Arabidopsis thaliana: one gene and its partner. The protein of the gene in region 2 purifies or fractionates together with the protein of the main gene of each other region. This does not show direct contact. Each region holds a gene or a part of one and is shown on either strand. Other genes may lie near its edges.

Evidence for each region.
Region 1: the proteins of RPS1 (region 2) and EMB3113 fractionate together in Arabidopsis thaliana (co-fractionation; one large-scale study listed by BioGRID). This does not show direct contact.

The regions. Positions count from the first base shown.
Region 1 is NC_003071.7:14,300,172-14,310,616, forward strand, and holds EMB3113 (Ribosomal protein S5 family protein), read right to left. Parts: upstream 2,326-10,445; 5' UTR 2,182-2,325; coding exon 1,520-2,181; intron 1,004-1,519; coding exon 754-1,003; 3' UTR 501-753; downstream 1-500. Other genes in the region: AT2G33796 (FBD-like domain family protein), read right to left, coding at 1-81; SPL3 (squamosa promoter binding protein-like 3), read left to right, coding at 5,171-5,469, 5,561-5,657; MBAC1 (Mitochondrial substrate carrier family protein), read right to left, coding at 6,122-6,256, 6,346-6,444, 6,533-6,721, 6,792-6,890, 6,980-7,084, 7,166-7,267, 7,418-7,531, 8,006-8,122; AT2G33830 (Dormancy/auxin associated family protein), read right to left, coding at 9,597-9,633, 9,720-9,918, 10,025-10,115.
Region 2 is NC_003076.8:11,612,365-11,622,851, forward strand, and holds RPS1 (ribosomal protein S1), read right to left. Parts: upstream 8,935-10,487; 5' UTR 8,860-8,934; coding exon 8,557-8,859; intron 8,420-8,556; coding exon 8,144-8,419; intron 8,070-8,143; coding exon 7,989-8,069; intron 7,880-7,988; coding exon 7,598-7,879; intron 7,536-7,597; coding exon 7,425-7,535; intron 7,346-7,424; coding exon 7,259-7,345; intron 7,009-7,258; coding exon 6,898-7,008; 3' UTR 6,636-6,897; downstream 1-6,635. Other genes in the region: AT5G30490 (craniofacial development-like protein), read left to right, coding at 73-255, 1,533-1,907; GolS10 (Nucleotide-diphospho-sugar transferases superfamily protein), read left to right, coding at 2,981-3,313, 3,684-4,007, 4,132-4,230, 4,332-4,562.

The DNA of each region.
Region 1 (10,445 bases), on a different chromosome or scaffold from region 2:
TCTATACCCATATATCTCCAACACCTTCACTTCATTTCGATCAATGAAGACTCCCTGATTACTTACACAGTGCAAGCCCATCACAAAGAGATCACCATTCATACAGAGTTAGGATTGTACGTAATACTTGACGCGGAAGCATGTGGATTAGTTAACTGCGTATATATTAAGTTTGGATTTAGACACCTTGAGCACAAAAGTTTCTAGCTTTGTAGTGAAACGTGAGTCTCTTGAGGGTTTTGTGGGATATAGAGTATACTTTGCTTTCTATACGTTGTCATCTAAGTGTTGGATAATTAACTGACCATGAAAGTGTTGTAAGGATAATTCCTCAAGTATTGGACAACAACAAAGCATTTTATGGCACAAGTCTTCGCATGTATACCAAGTTGAATGGAGAAGGAGACTCTTTTGCACTGAAAGAAACACTTGTGGTAATTATGATATTCGATCTGGACCATGATCTTAATTTTCGAATTTGTCAAAGACTGTAAGTACTAAATTGGGCTTGATGGGCTCTTCATTGGACTAACATAAATGTCTCGGACAAGTGTATGTGTTCTTCCTTGTACATTTTCACCTGCAACCTTATCAGCCATAGCTATAGCATTCTGAAATAGAATCGGTCAATGTGAACTTTTATGGGAGAAGAAAGGATTTACTATTTCAAAATAAACATATTTTCTCATGAATTACATCATTACAAGAAATCTCAACAAAAGAGGATGAAAATGTTAAAGCGAAGATGAGTTTTCACTTCCAGAGTTCTTCCATGGGGATTCCACGCTCTTGTGCAACATCGCGGAACTGTCTCATCTGTTGTACTGCTGCAAGAGTGGCTCTCGCATTGTTGAGAGCATTGTTGCTTCCAAGCTGTTTCCCCAATGCATTCTCGACTCCTGCCATCTCTAGCACAATCCTAACCGCTCCTCCAGCAATCACACCAGTACCTGGTGAAGCAGGTCTAAGCATCACCTTGGCTGCTCCATAATCACCCTCTGATCTATAATACAAAAACCAAACAAAACCCTCTTAAAACATAACTTAAACCCATCTCCAATTGTTCCAAAACATAGCTCAGTGGCCTATTAACCAACCGATTCTTCTAATTGATTGTGCACAACACAAAGATCAATCTCATAAAACCAGCATTCTGAGTAACAACTTCCATAAATCAATCCTTAAACCAAGCAAATCATCACATCCAACACAATGCTAAAAAGACTAAACCCCACAATCTTAGCTCATTGTCTACTGATTAACAAAAACCGATTCTTCTAATCATTAGGGCATTATTCAATATTTTAACTTTTGTGCACAATGCAAACATCAGTTTCGTAAAACAAGTACCATAACACCAATCTGTAAACCAAACAAACCCATCACAAATCCAACACATGACTGCACAATACTAATCCCAAAATCTTAGTTCATCACCAAGTAAGACTTTTACCATCCAAAACCAATTCTTCCAACAATTAACACACATTACAAACATCAAGTCCAAAACTTTGATTACCTGTGAGGGAAAGTAGAATACTTAGTCATAGGAACTTGAACAATGTTTCTCCTAGCATCAATAGCAGATTTCTGAACAGCAGCAACAACTTCTTTAGCCTTAGCACAACCAACACCAACATTCCCTTGTTTATCACCAACAACAACGATAGCTCTAAACTTCAATTGCTTCCCTCCTTTAACAACCTTAGTCACTCTCCTAACTTGCACAACTCTCTCTTCAAACCCATCTCTAATCTTATCTTTCTTTGGCTTCCCACCAATACCTGAACTCTTCTTATGCTTTGAGTCCATCACATAAATATCTTTCCCAAGCATACTCTCACCACTATACGCAGGTCCATAGAGCTCTTCAAAAGCGGTAGCGATCTCTTCCTCTGTCTCGTCGCTTCCTTCGTCGAAATACGGAGGAGAGACGAATCCTTCGGGAGCAATTGGTGGGTCGAAGACGACATTTGCGGTTATTTCTGGTGTTTCGTCTTCGAAGAAGATGGTTTCGGTATCGGTCGATGAGGCTTTGACGAGAGTGAGAGATGAGAAGCGGCGGTTGAGGAAGGAGGAGAAAGAGACGATGGATTTTGTGGAGGAAGAGGAGATGAGAGAAGAGGTTCGGGTGTGGAGTGAGAGTGAAGAGAGTGATGAGAGAGCTGATGCTGTCGCCATTGAAATGGAGGAGCTTTTTTGGATGAGGAAGGAAGTGAGAATGAAGCAAAAGGCTTATCCAGCACCAGATCGTAAAAACTGTAAAGATAATTGTGTTGGGGCTTTTAAAGTAATTATCAAGTTTCTTTACAAATTGGCCACAATATATTTTATAATAACATTTGAACCCTCATATCCTTTTGTTTGAATTTGGGCTCTTCGCTCACTCCTCCCTCTTTGTGGCCCAATGAAGTTTCTTCAAGCCCATACAAAAGTAACTAGTAGTAATCCACATCAAACCCTATAGGCTTGCGGATACATCTTAGGTTTACTAAATCTTAAAATAGAAAAGATCAGTGACCATATGCTAATTCAACATTTTATTTTTACATACTTTGGTCATTTTTAATATGGACTTTGTTTTAATTAAGATCGATTATACTAACTACAATCGCATATGACACCAACGAGCAACGTTAATTGCTTTTATGATTTTAAAAGTATGTGATTTGCAAACTAATTAAAAGGTGACCATATATAAAAGAGTGTACTACAAAAAGGGCCTACTACTATTCAATTAACGTTGCTCGTTAGTGTCACGTGGGGAAGTTAAGGTTCCCACTTCCCCCACCACTTCTCTCAGTTCTCTTCTTCTTTTTATTGTCCCATTCCAAATTTTAACCAACACATCAAGCAAACTTCATTAATTTATGTTCAGTGTTGTAGTTGCAAACGTTATTTATTATTTTACGTTTACAAGTTTAGAACTAGTTCGAATCGTGATAATCTTGAATAAATCATAACTTTGTTCATCTAATCATAAGAACATAGAACTTTGACATGGTGTCTCCGGATCTTGTTGACTTAGTTCTATCTTAAAGTTAAGCTACACATATTATAGGGACCCCATATTATAGTACCCAAACAAACAATTAGAGAGTTTGTATGCAAATCCATAATATTTACCGTAGAATTGTATGGGTTTAATGAGGAAAGAAAAAGAAAAGAAAAAGAAAAGAAGAGAAGGACACTGAAGGAGAATGTGATGCTGCTGAATAAAAGATACAATCAAAAAATTGACAGGCAGTACAATAATGATAAGTAGTGTCATGACAGCTGACGACTCTACTGCCCAATCTTGACGTTATTTATTTTTGTCCATTTTTTCTTAAGATATTATTTCAACTTAAAAGAAGTAGAAAATAAACCATAAGTGCATAACAATATTCCTTTTATAAATTGGGTTCAAGATATTGATTCGATTCTGTTTATTTCAAGTGTCGTGGAACTCAATTTTATGTTATGCCTGCCTCGGCAACAAAGATTTTCGTTCAAGTGGCTCTATGAAAATAAGTTAGGGCAAACTAGATCGATTGATGTAAACACAAATAGAGCTAAATAGTGGAGATAGTAAACTGGTGATTTTGTTTCGTAAATAGTCAAAAGGAGGGGGTGACAAAAAATAGATTTGTCCCTTACCTCTAAGAGATATAGAGCAAAACGTTTGCATAGCGCTGTACCATTTCCTTCTATATTTTATATATGTGGATGTGCATGGATCTAGCTGATGACATAACACGGCAAAATCATTTAACATTTGATTAGCATTGGCATCAATATTTGACGACGCTCCTCATTATTTATATATGTGGATGTGCTGATGTGCATGAATCTAGCTGATGACATAACCTAGTATATGTGCATGGTTTTATGGTGTGAACAAGTTTTTTTTTTTTCTTTTCTTGGTTTTAGGTGTGAACTTTAAGTTAGAGATGATCTTCAAATCTCACGAACCACAAACCTCCTTGCACGTTAAGAATAGCCTCTCTTTTTTTCTTTTGTTGCTTCTAGTCTCAGAGTGTCTTCGAGATATGTGTAGTCTTTAGTGTACCCTGAGACCTGAGTACAAGATCGAAAAGAAAATATCTCGAATAACAGAGTTGTGTTTGCTGTTTTTACCATTTAATTATGCTAATATCTTTGTTTTACATAATACCAATTGAAAAATGAATACATAATTCAAGTTTGGACCATTCTTGTATATCCACTTTTGGCTTCGTGGCCCCGATAGCTAATTTGATTGACCTTATCATCTACACCAAACAAGAAATTAAATTGTCAAATTAATTTAGTGGTGGCCCTATACTATAAAATCGTAAACACTTCTTTTTGAAACTAAATATAAACCTTACGACACATTTATGTGCAAATTAGTGGACATATTCCTCAGTAATAACGTTTTTACAAACCTACAGTTGGATAAATTATTGAGTCACTCCATGATTAAACCAACAACATAAGAGAAAAATAAAATAGTACACTACGAATGATCTTTTAAATATGTTATTCTTTTTTGATACAGAAACTTTAACTACCAAAAAAAAAAAGCGAATGATTCATAAAAACGCAATGTGGTATGTTTGGTCTGTTTTTTAGTTCGAATCTCAACTTCTTGTTACCACAAAAATAAAACATTACACAATGTAAATTTACTGTTCAGTCTTGCTTTTCCAATCACTACATTAGCACATATTCTTCACATGTATTTTCCACTAATCTCGCGACAAAATGTTCACAGTGTTTCTCAGTTTCTCTCTCTCAATATTTTCTTGTCAAACAACATGCATATTTGAACCCGCATGGTGAAATAGCATCGGCATTAACATGATCAACCACAAAATAAACCGGGGTGGTGTCATAGCATCGACATTAACTTAAAACTACAAAATAGAGCTGGGTCCTCGTCAGGTTTTAAGGATACATATGTATGCATGTATGCATATACAAAATAATAGAGCACTAAAGCTTGTTCGTACTCTTTTTTACACAACATGCTAATAATTTTTATACCTTAGGAGTGAAATTTTAGTGGTCCAACAACTTAAGCACCTAAGATCCTTCCCCACTTTTGTTTGGGGCTCCTTTATATCTCTTCCAATGGTTACTTTTACTTCCTCTTCTTCTCTTCTTGTTCCATCTTTCATGTGAGAGAGAGAGTTGAATTTTGCAGATGAGTATGAGAAGAAGCAAAGCGGAAGGGAAGAGGAGCTTACGAGAACTGAGTGAGGAAGAGGAAGAAGAAGAAGAAACTGAAGATGAAGATACTTTTGAAGAAGAAGAGGCTTTGGAGAAGAAGCAGAAAGGTAAAGCTACAAGTAGTAGTGGAGTTTGTCAGGTCGAGAGTTGTACCGCGGATATGAGCAAAGCCAAACAGTACCACAAACGACACAAAGTCTGCCAGTTTCATGCCAAAGCTCCTCATGTTCGGATCTCTGGTCTTCACCAACGTTTCTGCCAACAATGCAGCAGGTAAATTTTTGTCATCTTTTTTCAAAACTCCTGCAACAATAACCATAAACAAGAACAAGAAATATGAGACCTTTTACCTTTTGTTTTTAAGGTTTCACGCGCTCAGTGAGTTTGATGAAGCCAAGCGGAGTTGCAGGAGACGCTTAGCTGGACACAACGAGAGAAGGCGGAAAAGCACAACTGACTAAAGACGGTGAAACGTGTGAGATCCCGGTTTGAAGGTTAATGAAACAGGCTTTGCTTACTCTCTTCTGTCAGTCTCTTTTAGCTCCTTGTAATCCTCTGTGTCTCTGTCTGTTTCTCCATATTACCTGTAATCAAAGCTATCTGCTAAACCTACGACATGGTTAAATAAATGCATTGAGACTTAGTAAATGCTTGAAGAAATTATGTGTAATAACTCTTTAAACTTGTCAAATGTTATTTCAAGCCAAGATCTTAAACTACACCAGGGATCTGTATTTGTTTTGCAATCAACAAATGAGGAGACAGCTAAATAGCTATCAAAAATAATAATCTGGGAGACACTTTTGATTCGTGATATATGTAGTTCTGTTACATGAAAGCTCATCAAAATCTGAAGCAAATGCAAGCTCCTTGTGGTTTAAAGATCTGTAAATCGAACCAAATAAATTAGATTGGAAGACTAATCCTAGTCACGTTTGATTCCCAACATTTTCATTGAGAACTCCCAAGCAACAATTGCTGCTGCATTAGCAGGGAATGCTCTCACAATGGTTGGACCCAAACCTGCATAGCATCCCTTGAGTCCTGCCCTCTTGTGAATCTGCAGAGATGATTTAAAGTCAAAAACAATATTTCATATACTCTTTTGTATCGGTAATTAGATTCATAGAGGGAAGATGGCTGACTGACCGAGCTCAACACTTTAAAAGGATTTCTCTCTGTAGCTTTCTCTGAAGAGGTCTGGATTATGGTTTTTGCTACATCAAAAGGCAAAACAGCTGACCAGCACTGCATCATAGAAGCAGAAGTAATATTCATATAAAATAGCAACATTTTTTATGATGGAATTTATGAAACACACTATATAGATTCCTACAGCTATGCCTCCAAGACCACCAGTGAGAACTCCTATCCCCATGTCAACCAAGTAACCATCTTTCAGCTTAGAATCCTCCAATCTCGAGTGGATATGATACCGTAAGTACTCATAGACAGTAAAAAAGACAGCATTTCCCGTACATTCTCTTAATAAGGTTGCCGAACCACCACGAAAGATACCTGTTACCTGAAAGATATCCCCATCAACCTGATATTCGATTCTTAAGTAGAATATTTTAGCAACGAGAGTTTCTCACCCCATCATTTTTAACGGTCTGAACGGCACAATCAAGAGGACTGTTGTATCTACGGAAGTTAGGAACCAGAGAATCCGTTCCTTGGATCTGCATTCTACACTGAACAAAACAGTGAATGTCCCAAAACTCCATGGAAACCATCAAAGGTGATAATTGCGGGGAAAGAAATGGTGTTCTGGAGATTTCACCTTTACTAGCTCTGTTGGACATAACACAAAACTAATGATAGCTCCACCAAACATAGCAGACGGAACAATTATCTCTGGTCGTGGCCCATCATCTGGCAAAGTTCCCTTTACAATAAAACAAGAAAGAAGCGAAATTTGAAATCTGGAGGAAAATACAGTGAAAGATCATTTGGTCTGCAATGTTACCCGCAAGAACAGCTTAGCCTGGGAGTATATGCCAAACATCAATGAACTTTCAAAAGCCATTCCCATAAACGACGATGTTGCTCCCCTATAAAGTCCTTTGACCTAAATATGAATTCAAGTCAGCAAAAAAAAAACCCTTGTATCTGGCCAAACAGGTGATGATGGATCTAGTAAGATTCCATTGACACTGAAAAATCCAGACTTTCAATAACTAAAACTGTTTGCAGGATGCTAAAGTCTTGAAAACATAACAAAAAGAGTGCAGTGAAAATATACTCCTTCAGTTTGCAAGATCCTCGAAGCACAATGCAGCCCATTTTTGTATCTGAGCCCTTGCACATCTGTATTATGTTTCTGAAGTTTCACCTGACACAAGAAACAAAAGCCAAAACCCCAAAGTTAGAATCATTACTTCCAAACATGAGTGATGCCAATCCAGTGATAAACTATCTAAAAATGGTTAGCCTAAAACAAGAAATGATTTTTATGCATAGAAAGCTCCTAAGCAAAAAGAAACCATTTAAGTCCCAAACAGCATCAGAAGAAACCTCATTGAGATATATGATGGATGGTTTTATATCTTCTTTGCTTAACGATAGTTTTAGGCATAGAGGTAAACAATCAACACATAACTGATAAGTGAATATATATCAATGGTCCAGTGTAGAACACTTTCTCACACCAATGCATCCTTAATTAAAAACTAAAGTATAGAATTGAAGTACTGAAACATAATTTCTCAAATTGGAAGATGAAACACATATATACCCATTTGGTGTAAACTCTGATAAACACATATTTTACAAGAAAAATCGAAAACTAGGATTGAAAATTGAGTACCTTGACGGTGTCGAAAGGGTGGCCGACGGCGACAGTGGCGAGACCAGCCATCATTCCGGCGACATATTCCTTGTAAAACCCGAAGCCCTCTCCTGTCGTCGTCTTACTCTCTCCCATTCCCACAACGCCACCGAGCAGAAGAAGAATTATTCACTTCACTACGGTGTCTTTTGCTTTCTACAAAAAAAAATGAATAATTCAGAGTGAAAGTTAAATATTTATATGGGTGTTACAAAATTTTACTTTTTTTTAGATAAAGAATTGGTTGCTACATATATATGATAGATTCTATATTGTGTAGTGTGAACTAATTAGAATGATAGTTTCGGTCTAATCGTGACAAAATTATGATAGTTTAGGTAGATTGTTTCATAAAATTTGTTTACAATTGATTAACGAATGGCATGTGAAATGGTCAATGCTTTTTTGTGGTATATGTGTTAATATTATCATCTCGTTTTAAGGTTTTGAATAGAAGATGGCAGTGAATCCAAAGTGACTTATAAAGGAGCTAATCTCATTGCACAAAGTATAACTAATGACTTTTACGGCTCCATTTGTATGTAGCTCTTGGTTGCAAGGTGTGTAACGTGTGTTTAATGGTGAAAGATCTCTTTCTTCTCTATGAACTTGTGTGTTTTTGTGTAGGTGGAGACACTTCTTTTGTATATTCCCCTTGTATTGAAAATGTGCTTTGAATAGGTTGATCCCGCAGGACTCAGGTTTGGGTTGGTTCTTTTTGTGTAACCTTGTATTCTATCTTCTTCTTTAATCAAATCAGATGACAAAAAATTAAATATATATTACATTTGTATCCAGACATGTATAAACTTTAATTAAATCACTATCATAATGGTTTGTTGACACAAAGAATTCACCTAACCATGGTTATGTTTTTGTTATTTAATGAGATGAGATCAACCATGGTGATTAAAATAGGTTGATCCCTGAGCTTTGGATTGGTTCTTTTTGTGTAACTTTGTATAATTATATCAAATCAGACAAAAAAATATATATAAAAAATTACAACTGTATCCAAAGACATGTATAAACTTTAATTAAATCACTATCATAATGGTTTGTTGACACAAAGAATGCATTTAACCATTGTTATGTTTTTGTTATTTAATGAGATGAGATCAACCATAGTTCAGTTAAAATTTAATCAAATCACTATCATAATTGTTTGTTGACACAACGAATTCATCTAACCATGCATGATTGAGATATTTTAATGATGAACAAATAAAATAAAATAAAAATAATGATATGAGATCAACCATGGTTAAGTTAAATTCCATTTTGCTAATTATAGTTAAGTTAAGTTATATTGTTAGCTAAATCATTAGAGAAGCTAATTGTAATATTACCGAACAGTAAAAATATTACAAGACACTGAAGACGCATCGCCACCGTTAAAAGCTAAAAACTAACCCAGATGGTGGAAATCAACGGTCACTAACAAACACAAACGACATGAAGCAAATAAAAGATTGCACATATAGCCAAAATAGACGAAACAGAACATAAACACGTGGCGTAAAGAACATAATTATTTTACATCATTCTCATGTCACTCTACCCTCTCGGCTCAACGGTGCTTGCTCCTAGTGTCGTCGCTGTATAGCCTGCGGGATCACAACAACGGTCAAACCATCTTAGATCTGATCTACACCGTCCGGTCAGATAATAATAACAGAAACTGAGTACGTACCAATCGTAGACGGTGGGAGAGTTTGGGTGAGAAGGCTTGTCGAAGAGGTTTGTGCCCATTCCTCTAGTGGCGATGTTACTTCCTGGATGAAACACACTTCTCCACACGTTTTCCTTACGCGCCGATCCTGGCGTCGTCGGAGTTCCAGGACTCCCGGCCACCGCCGCCACAGTTTTACTACTGCTCCCTTCTCCTACACCTTCCAAAAACCATCACATGATATAATTATGAGATCATACGTTTCTACAAAGATCTGTATATGCAAGTTTATTACGGAGTTATGGTTGACAAAGAAAAATAAATACCTTTGATGTCAAGGGGTTGGGTGGTGATCTTATTGCGGAGGCGGCCAAGGCCATGCTCCGGTTTAGGTCCGGCTACAGTTTCATCCCACATATTTCTTTCTTTTTTTGGGTTGATTTTGGATAGAATTGTGTCAAGTGTGAAGTACTTACTAAAGGGCTTCCTTCATCTAATTTATAGACTCATTTTTAAACTATTCGTAAAAATATCTCTTTTCCTTTGTCGACTAGTTCTCTCATTTTTTATTTGACCCACAAAATATCTAGAGAAATACTATAATAGACTAGAAATAATTGACAAGTAATTGATAACTTAATTACCAAATGAAGTTTATATACTTGCACATAGAATTTTCGTTAAAATTTGATACGTTTAGCCAAAATGTTATTATTCTCTGTCAATAAACAACATGAATACATAATA
Region 2 (10,487 bases):
CTACTCTCTCTGCGTTTTGATTCTTTTCTTACGTTTGGGATTTTGAATGTGTTTTTCAAAAAAAATTTGCAGAATTGGAAAAGTTATCTCGGTGTGAATGTGAAGAAGAAGGATACTTGTGTTTCTGATGTACAGAAGAGTGTTTTGAATCATAGCTGTAGTGAGGAGGCTAAGAGTATTGCTGCAGCCGCTTTAGCTGCGGTGCGAAACGCAACTGTAACGGCTGCAGCTGCATCGAGCCGGGGCAAGATTGAGGTTAGAAAAGTTTTATGTTTGAATTTGTGTGTTTTGGTTCGTTATTGTTAGAAGATAAGATCTTATCAGCTGTTTTGGAGCTAAAAAGATAGATTGTGTAGGAGTTGAATCACTGTCTCGAGTAAAAATGTGGTTTGATTGAACCTTTACGATAAGAAAATAAAGCTCGTTTCTTGTTTGAGTTTGTGTTTGGCTCAGAATTTTATGAATCTAAGGTTTGATTAGTTGTTTAGGAACTAAGAAGATAGATGGTGTAGGAGTAGAATCTCTGTCTCGAGTTAAAATGTAGTTTGATTTTGATTGAACCTTTACGATCCCCGAATAAACCTCATTTCTTGTTTGAGTTTGTGTTTGACTCGGAATTGTTAGATTCGAAGGCCTTCTCAGTTGTTTGGAACTAAGAAGATAGATTGTGGAGGACTGGAATCTCTGTTTTGGGTTGAAATGCATTTTGATTGAACCTTTTTTCGAATCTGTGTTTAAAACTAGGAAGGTGGATTGTTTAAAGCTTGGTACTGTATCGTTAGGATGTAAGATCCCCGAAAGTTTTTTTTTGTTCGAATCTGTGTTTTGGCGCGGTACCGTATCGATAGAATGTAAAATCTTATCAGCTGTTTAAAACTAGGAAGGTGGATTGTTTAAAGCTCGTTTCTTGACTTTGTTTTTGGCTCAGAATTGTTTGATTAGTTGTTTGTAACTAAGAAGATGGATTTTGGAATCTCTGTTTTCAGTTAAAATGCAATTTGATTTAACCTTTCTTTATCCGTATGTACAGTTTGTTTTTGGTTCGAATCTGTGTTTTGGCGCGGTACCGTATTGTTAGAATGTAAGATCTTATCAGCTGTTTAAAACTAGGAAGGTGGATTGTGTAGGATTAGAATCTACGTCTCAAGAAAAAGTGTAGTTTGATTGATCCTTTGTGATATGAAAACAATGCTTGCTTTTTGTTTGAATCTGTGTTTTAGCTTGTTATTGTATTGATATAACTTAGAATCTTTGATCGTATCAGCTGTTTAGAAGTAAGAAGATGGATTGTGGATGACTAGAATCTCTGTCTCAAGTTAATGTGGTTTGATTGATGCGTTGCAATCCATAAATAAAACTTCCTTTTTGTTTGAGTTTGTGTTGTTAGTTACTATGATCTTATCAGCTTTTTGGAACTAGGAATATGGAATGTGTTAGAATAGAATCTAATTAATTGAACCTCTGTGATCTGTGATTTGCACTTGGGGCGTATTCATTCAGTTAATACATATGTTCTTCTCGATTATTTCCAGATAACCGAGGTCAAAGATTTTGCGGGTCAAGAAATCGAAGTAAAGCGGTTAGTTGAAGCGGATTCAAAGGAAGCATTGGAGAGGGGAAACAAAGGCTCCTCTTCCTCCTCAGCAGCGCCTTCAGCGGTTGATGCGGTTCTTGAGCAGATAAAAAAGAAACAAAAGCTGAGTGTTTTGGACAAGACGAAGAAAGATTGGGGAGAGTATAAGGAAGAACACAAAGGTGTTGAAGACGAGCTAGATAAGTACAAGAAAAGCTCGGATCAGTATCTCGACAAAGTTGGTTTCTTGGAGAGAGCTGATTACAGACAGTTTGAGAAAGAGAGAGACGCTCGTTTAGCTCTTCAGTCCAAGAGAAGACACGATGATGTATGAAATGAAATGTGACCGACCCTTTTAACATGTATGAAATCATTTTCTCAAGCCATTTTGGTCACATTCTTTCCATAGTCTAAACCGAGTTCCCGTTGCATGATTGATTCTGATTTTTTATGTCTCGTTCATAAGAATTGAGAACATCCTCTCTTGTAGGCCATGGACAATGAAATGGGCTTGTAATGCAAATGAAATCCCAACTTCTGAAGCCCATGTTTTTATTTCAACCCAATTATGAAACGAAACATCATTTCATTTGTGATCGCAATCTTTTCGTTCTTTTGACCAACAAAAATTAGCAAACTCAAATCCGTATTTAGGTCTGAAAGAAGACAGTGAGACTAATTGTTATGCTAATTTGGTTTTTCGACTGTATATGGCATTTGAATATTTTATACCTAAAAATATCACTAATTGACCTGAATTTACCAAACTTAATACCTAATTTGGTTTTTCGACTGGCATTAGCTCAATTGGTAAAGACCTTTGGCGAAGCTTAGAGGTCGCCGGTTCGAATGATGTTTGGGATGAAACTAATATTACATGATGTGGTTTCGGGCCTGGAAAAATTACGGGCTTCGGTCCAAAACCTCCTGATATTCAAAAAATAAAGAAAAAAAATTAGTAGTAGGAAACTCCAATCTACAAAATATTCGGATGAATTAACGGTATCTTGAAAACGTCCAACTTAGGATAAAACCGATATAATAATAGGGCCACGTTGAACTAAATAAATATTCCATACACAAAAGACTTACAAGAACATGGTATGTACCATATACATCAACATTTATCACACCAATTAATATTTCAATTTCCATATTATTTACGATTCTAGATTTAATATCTTTATCCGATTCTAAATCTTGGCAAACAAGAATCGGGTCAATCACAATCAAAAAACGTTTTCCATAAGAAAATCCCCTAAGATATTCAAAATCAAAACCATAATTAATTCAACTTCCTCTTTCTCTCCTTTATATAATATCACCATCGACATATCTTATAACCGCAACCAAAAAAAAAGTTCTTATCTTTTAAAACTTATCTAAAGAGACTAAGCTTCTTTTGAGATGGCACCAACGGAGATGAACATCGAAAGAAAGGTAGAGGCTGACGTGGCGGTGATTCCTAATGATGGAAAAAGGGCTTACGTCACTTTCCTAGCTGGTAACCAAGACTATTGGATGGGTGTGGTTGGTTTAGCCAAGGGACTTCGTAAGGTGAAAGCAGCTTATCCTCTTGTTGTGGCTATGCTCCCAGACGTACCGAAAGAACACCGTCAAATCTTGGTGGCTCAAGGATGTATCATCCGGGAGATTGAACCGGTTTATCCGCCGGAAAACCAAGCTGGTTATGCTATGGCTTATTACGTTATCAACTACTCCAAGCTTCGAATTTGGGAGGTAGGATCTTACTTACATGCATATATCCGTATATCACTGTATCGGTTTTCTTTGTCAACTATCGTTTATTGCATGTAAACACGTACCCACAAATTACTTTGAGTGACACGTGGATTTGAATGTTTGTGAATTTTTTAACAGAAACAAATAATAACGCTTATCATTTTATCTAACAAATAAATTGTCATGTGCCGTATACTAATCAAGATTTATATATAGTCACAAATCTATAATAATAACGCTTATTATTATTCTCAGAAGTTGTTTTAATTTAGTAAATAACATTTCAAGAACATATGTATAAAGTTTGTCTTAAGTCTTATAGTATATATATTTTATTCTAACCATATGATTACATATATAAATGCAGTTTGTGGAATATGAGAAGATGATATATTTAGATGGAGACATACAAGTGTTTAGCAACATCGATCATCTATTTGACACTCCATCTGGCTACTTGTACGCCGTCAAAGACTGTTTTTGCGAGGGTTCTTGGTCAAAAACACCTCAATACAAGATTGGTTACTGCCAACAGTCGCCCGAAAAAGTGAGGTGGCCGATGAACAGTCTTGGTCATGTGCCGCCATTGTATTTCAACGCGGGTATGTTGGTCTTTGAACCAAATCTCCTCACTTACGAGGATCTTCTTCAAACTGTTCAAGTCACCACTCCTACTTCATTCGCCGAACAGGTCCGATCAATTAGGATTTTTTAAGACTTTTATTTTCATTATTTACATTTATTTTACAAATCTAATATTATTGTTTATCTATTTATAAGATTTTCTGAATATATACTTTAGAGATATTTACAAGCCAATCCCTTCGACGTACAACCTCGTACTAGCTATGCTTTGGCGTCATCCCGAATGCATTGACCTCGACCAAATCAATGTTGTTCATTATTGTGCTAAAGTATGTTTGTTTTTAATCTCTTAATAGGACTCTTGATATGTAATATAATAGATCATGTTACTAATTAATGTTGGTCATGTTAATTTTGAATCATTTTCTAGGGCTCAAAACCTTGGAGATTCACTGGAGAAGAGGAGCATATGGACCGAGAAGATATTAAAATGTTGGTGAAAAAATGGTGGGACATTTATGAAGACACGAGTTTAGACTACAAGACATTTGTTGAGAACGAGTCGAAGCTGAATCCGATCGTTGCAGCCTTGGCCTCTAAAGAATCAGGTTGTGATGGTCTTACTAGCCTCGCTCCTTCCGCCGCAAAATCAAATCCCTAACATGCATGGAAGCTATCTTTTATCGCTTTCTTTTTAATGCAAGGTTTTAGCTATATCTATAATTTTCTTATAATTATATATAGCAAACTTCTTTTATGTTTGTGAGATAAGAGTGGTTGGTCTTGTGTTTTTTCAAGACTTTTATTTCCATGACAACCTCGGCTACCCTTAATTTGCTTTTGTATCCCCCTCTCTTTTTAATAAGTAATCAATAATAAGAATGATAATGCTATTATGGCTTTAATCGCCTTCTCTTTCATTTTTTTTTAAACAACCTAATAGATTATTTCAAATATTTGTGTACATCAATTTTGAAAACTATTGGATTAGTAGAATGGTACTACCTACCTTTTTACATCAACTAGTTGTAGTTGATATCAGTAGTTTGGTTTTAACATCTATTAGTAATATTTGTTAATTTAACCAAGGATTACTAAAATCCGAAAATATATCACTACTGATACTATGAAAGTACTATCGATCCCAAAATATCAATCGATAATCGATGTACAGTTACTGAGTGTTTGACTTGTTTGTTGTTAAATGGCATATAATCAAATAACCTTTCCTGGTATGATATTATATAGTAATTAGCGACTAATCCCATTAAATATCTCTTTATATCTGATATGGATCAAATGACTAATCCATCAAATAAATTGATTTATACGAGATAAATTGTTGCTACCTATGCTTAATGGCCTTTCTTAAAGAATGCAAATTTTATTTAGCAAAAAAAAAGAATGCAAATTTTAGTATCGAAGAATAAATGAAAAAAAAAAACCATCTAAGGAATTCTATATAAAACATTTCAATTTGTATTATTTCGAAATGCCATAAATTTCTATTATCCAATTTGATCTTATATGGAAAATATATCTCATAGTATTACAAAACATAATTGTAACTAGAAGAAACCTCGCTTAAATTTTTGGATAATAAGCTATATTATACTCCTTCTGTTCTTTATTAATTCATTTCTTAGAAAAAAAAATTGTTTCAAAAAGATTATTTTTTTTAGTTTTTCTATGCACTATTTATTAATTATTATTGATGAATTTTAAATTTTAAGACAAATAATTAAATATCATTGGCTTAAAATTATAGAAAAATATAAATCACAAAAATAATATATTTATAATCAGTTTTAATATGTTTTGTGTTTTTCTAGAAAATCAATGAAATAAAATAGAGAGAAGAAATGGTTTGCATTAAAATATTTTCTTTGATGATTTTCATACCAAGTTGAAAAGGTAAATTTAACTTATAAAATAATAAAAAAAGCTTGACTTGTTTCTTATAACGTATAAAATATAGATAGAGAGTTGTAATGCAGATCTATCAGTTTGGGCTTGTCGAAAAACTATGAGCTTTGGTGAGATTCAGACAAATGAGTTTGATCATGTTGCATATCATTAGCCAATGAGAAGAGACCATCAATCAAATTTGTGAGATACGATAACCTTGTGCGAGAATGAAGGAATCCTCGCAGGTCTGTTTAGAGCAATCCTAACGCAAGATACACTCACATAGAAACCTCCATCTGAATTTCCAGTTCCGAATCACCACCACCAAGAACAACTTCATTCTTCAAAATATCAAAATTATTGAAAACGGTACGAAATCTGATTTGGTGCTTTACATTTATCCCTTGCTTAAGATATTTAATCACACCATCTTCCAAAACGTTACGTGGATTCTTAATCAGCCAGAACCCTACAAAAACGAATAATTTCTTAGTCTAACCATTTCCTCGTCTCCAAGATACTTTAATCAAATCAAGTCTTTGGACATTTGAAATATTTCAGTACCTATTTGATCCTCCATATACTCAATGAGTCTGAAGATATCCATACCCAACACCACCCTCATAGTCCTATCACGTTCCCTGGTGATTTTAAAACTAGTGTCGAAATCCTTGAATAGAACTAAACAAGCCATTTGGTAAACCTACCCATCTAATTCCTGCTTCTTTAGACAATATGTTACAGTTTCTTCTTACTTCTCCAGCTTCAATCACACTCAAAATAGGGTAGACCCAATCACATTTGCTAACAACAGCCGCTAAACAAACTTTGTCAAGACACCTGTTCTGCCGTAAAGGTTATGGATAAATTCTTATTAAAAATTTAACAATATCTTTTTTTTTAAGACCGTGTGCTCTGTTTGGTCTTGGGCAAAGCCTTTCTTTGGTTTCTTGACATTGTAACAGAACATATCGATTACAAAAGACAAAGTACACATGATAAAATGTCTTGTAGGAAGTAAACTACATATTCAATTAAGCTCAAGGAGGTGTTTTTGTGTATGAAAAAATACACTAAAGCTTTAGAATCTAAATATCAACTGCAGAAGGAATGTCGTCGACCGTTAGATCTACGCCATCATCTGGTAACTCAGATCCGAGTGGTCCTAGTATCCCGTCAGAACTCAGCGTCAGTCCACTCTGTTCAAACACACAACAACATGAGCTTATTATCCTCCACCAATTACAACCTTCTATGGTTATGGTTAAACAAACCAACATACCGAAAACAACAACATAATTCTCAAAATCCAAATTAACTCATTTGTGATGATCAATGTAAAAGGAAAAAATCTTAGATGGTTACTAAACATGTACACTTTTGGAACTTGATTGCAATAAGAAATCAATAAGCATGGATAAACGAGATCAGGCAAGTGGAGAATGATACCTCAGGTTGGAAGCGAAGCATGTCTGCACGAGCCATGGCTTCTGCTTGCGCAATTCTCTGTCTGAATGTCTGAGCCATCTCCTCAGCCTTGAGACAGCAGAAAGTAGCAAATGATTGAGACATAAAAGAAAATAGGGAAAGTTTTTTTGAATGGAAATAGAGTTACCTTCTCGAACACAAGTTTTGGGTTACGAATCATATCACCAGGTGTTGGCTCCAGCTTCTTTGTGGAGAGACTTACTCTTCCTCTGTCACGGTCGTGACTCAATATCATAACCTGTACATTAAAAGTTAGGGACTGTTGTTTTAACATCTGAAATTAAACGTTTAAGAGTATACCTTCAAAGTGTCACCAGGCTGAAGAACAGTTGCGATATCTGAGACACGGTCATGACTTATCTGACTGACATGAAGAAGCCCATTGATTCCACCAATGTCAATGAAGGCACCATAAGGTTTCAAGCTCTGAACAACTCCGAGGACCACAGATCCAATTCCAAGCTGAGCTTGGCTATCTGCTACAGCTTTACGGTTGCTGAGGACAAGCTTTGTTTGTTCCTCATCAACCTCCACAAACTTAAGAGGTATTTCTTTTTCAAGAAGCTCTTCAGCTGCTGCTTTCTGACAAAAATGTAGAAGAAAACACATTTCATATATATCAGGTTGTGTTTCGTCTTAAAATCAACTAACAAAACCTTGAAATATTCACAGTTCTGAGGCAACTACTAACCGATGATATCTGCGAAAAGGGCACAAATCCACGAAGACCTTCCACAAGAGCAACCAATCCACCTTTGTTAGCACCAATAACCTACACATAACAATCAAATTCCTGAAACTATAACCACAGAAACCACAATAGTAGCAAACAAGTTTCAAACATACCTTAGCCTTGACAATAACATCCTCAGCCTGAAGCTGCCTGCAACGTTCCCAAGCAAGTTCGTATTGAATATTCCTTAAGCTCAATAGCAAACTGTCATCACTTTCATTTTCACCAATGATGACAAACTCTTCCACCATACCAGGTACAATACCAGCTTCTTCCACATGCTTAATTCTATGAATACACGCTTGTTCTACCGACAAGTAAGCCGATGACTTTGCAGAAATGTCAACTAATGCACCATTTGCATCAGTCTTGAACACTGTTCCTTTTACCTAAAACAACATCATTAACCACAAATGATACACAATTTCTACAGAACCACCATTGTCATGTAATAAAACTCATATCTTTAGAACTATATTTCAAATTCCCCAAAGAATCTGAAGTAGGTAAAAGAGAATAGACAAACCCTAGTGCCGATTTCGGAATTGAAGTCGTATTGTTCAATAGCAGCAGCGAAATCGTCGACGGTGAAAGCAACACCTTCCATAGGAGAAGTTCTACATCGTTCATAAGCATCTTCGAACATCTTCTTCAGCTCAAGACGCTCCTTTGTTTGACCGCTAGACATTGCAACCGCGGCGACAATAGTCGGAGAAACAGAGGCAGATTTGTTCTGGGGAAAGTTCTTCGAAGCTCTCCTCGATAACCTAGAAGAAGAAGAGAGTGGGGAACATCTCAATCCCGAGAATTGCTGAGCCAAAGACGCCATGGTTGAGTCTCACTCACTCACACAGAGAGTTTTATCTGTTATTCTTCTATGGCTCCTGCGTTTTATCGTTGGGTTAGATAAGGCCATAAGGGAATGGTAGAGATGATGATCTGGACTGAAAACTACATGCCGTTTTTCAGTCATCTAAACAGCGTGACGTTAGAAAACAAGTACAATAAATAAATGTACTAGGTATCGATCCAAGCTGCGCAGCGCGAAAGAATATATGTATAAAAAAATTAAAAGTAACGATCACAATCATATAGTAGAGTTCGTTAAAGGTTTAAATATAAATATAAGTTTTATGAAAATATAAATAGATTATGTACGTATAAATGTTGTAAACCGATGCTCAAAACCACACGAAACTTTAACACTTTCCAACTCAATCTCTCTCAACTCTCAAGAATCAAACACTTTTTTGAATCGTGAATGAAAACAAAAAGAAAGAACAAAGACACAAAGTTGTTTACTCAGTTTAATCCATCGATGTGATGAATCTATGTCTGGGGCTGAATTCAATCCAGCAATCCACTATGAAGATTTAATGTCTTTCTCCAGAAACTCAAGAACAGAGCTCTTCAATGGAGATTACAAACGAAGAAGAAGAAAATACAGTACAAAGAGAAAGAAGCTGAGAATACAAAGTATTTATAGAACCAGACCAAAACGGCAAACCCTCTAAACCAGCTGGAGTCTTCTGATCCTTTTCTCAAACACTTAAAATCAGTCTTCTAACCCTTCAATTGATGCTTAAACCAACAATCAATCACTAACCAATACTAACCGGTCTAATCAAGTTGACATCAGACTAAACCGGAAGAATTGGATCACACCTTCACAATCTCCACCTTGATACAAGTCTTCATCAAACATAGTAGATGCCATACATGGACTTAACCTTCAGCAAACCGAGCATGAAAGCTCAGTCCCACTTGATCAACTTCAGAAACTCCAAAGCTGAAACAAACTTGTGAATTGGGATACACTTAGTCAACATATCTGGAGGATTGTTTGACGTGTGGATCTTCACCACATTTATTTCCCCTTCTTCTATGATCTCACTCATAAATGCCCGTTTACGCAACATGTGTTTAGTCCTTTCATGGAACACATTGTTCTTGGTTAGGCAAATCGCAGACTGAGAGTCACACCACACCTGAACTTTATCCTGCTTGAAACCAAGATCTTCCATTAGCCCTTTAACCCAAATAGCTTCTTTCACAGCTTCTGTTAAGGCTATAAACTCTTCTTCAGTAGTAGACAATGCAACAATTGACTGCAGACAAGATTTCCAACTAACTGTGTTGTCTCCCACAGTGAAAATATATCCACTAACAGATCTTTGTTTTTCAAGATCTCCACCATGATCTGAATCACAGTAACCCATAATATTCAAATTCTTCCCTTTGGTATACACAAGACACAACTCTTGTGAGCCCTTTATATATCTCAACAGCCATTTAACTTCTTCCCAATGCATAGACCCGGGCTTGCTCATGAACCGACTAACCAGACCTAATGCATAGGCTAAGTCAGGACGAGTACCAATCATAGAATACATAACACTTCCTACTGCACTTGCATAAGGAGTTTTCTCTGTGTTAATGCATTCTGACATATCTCTC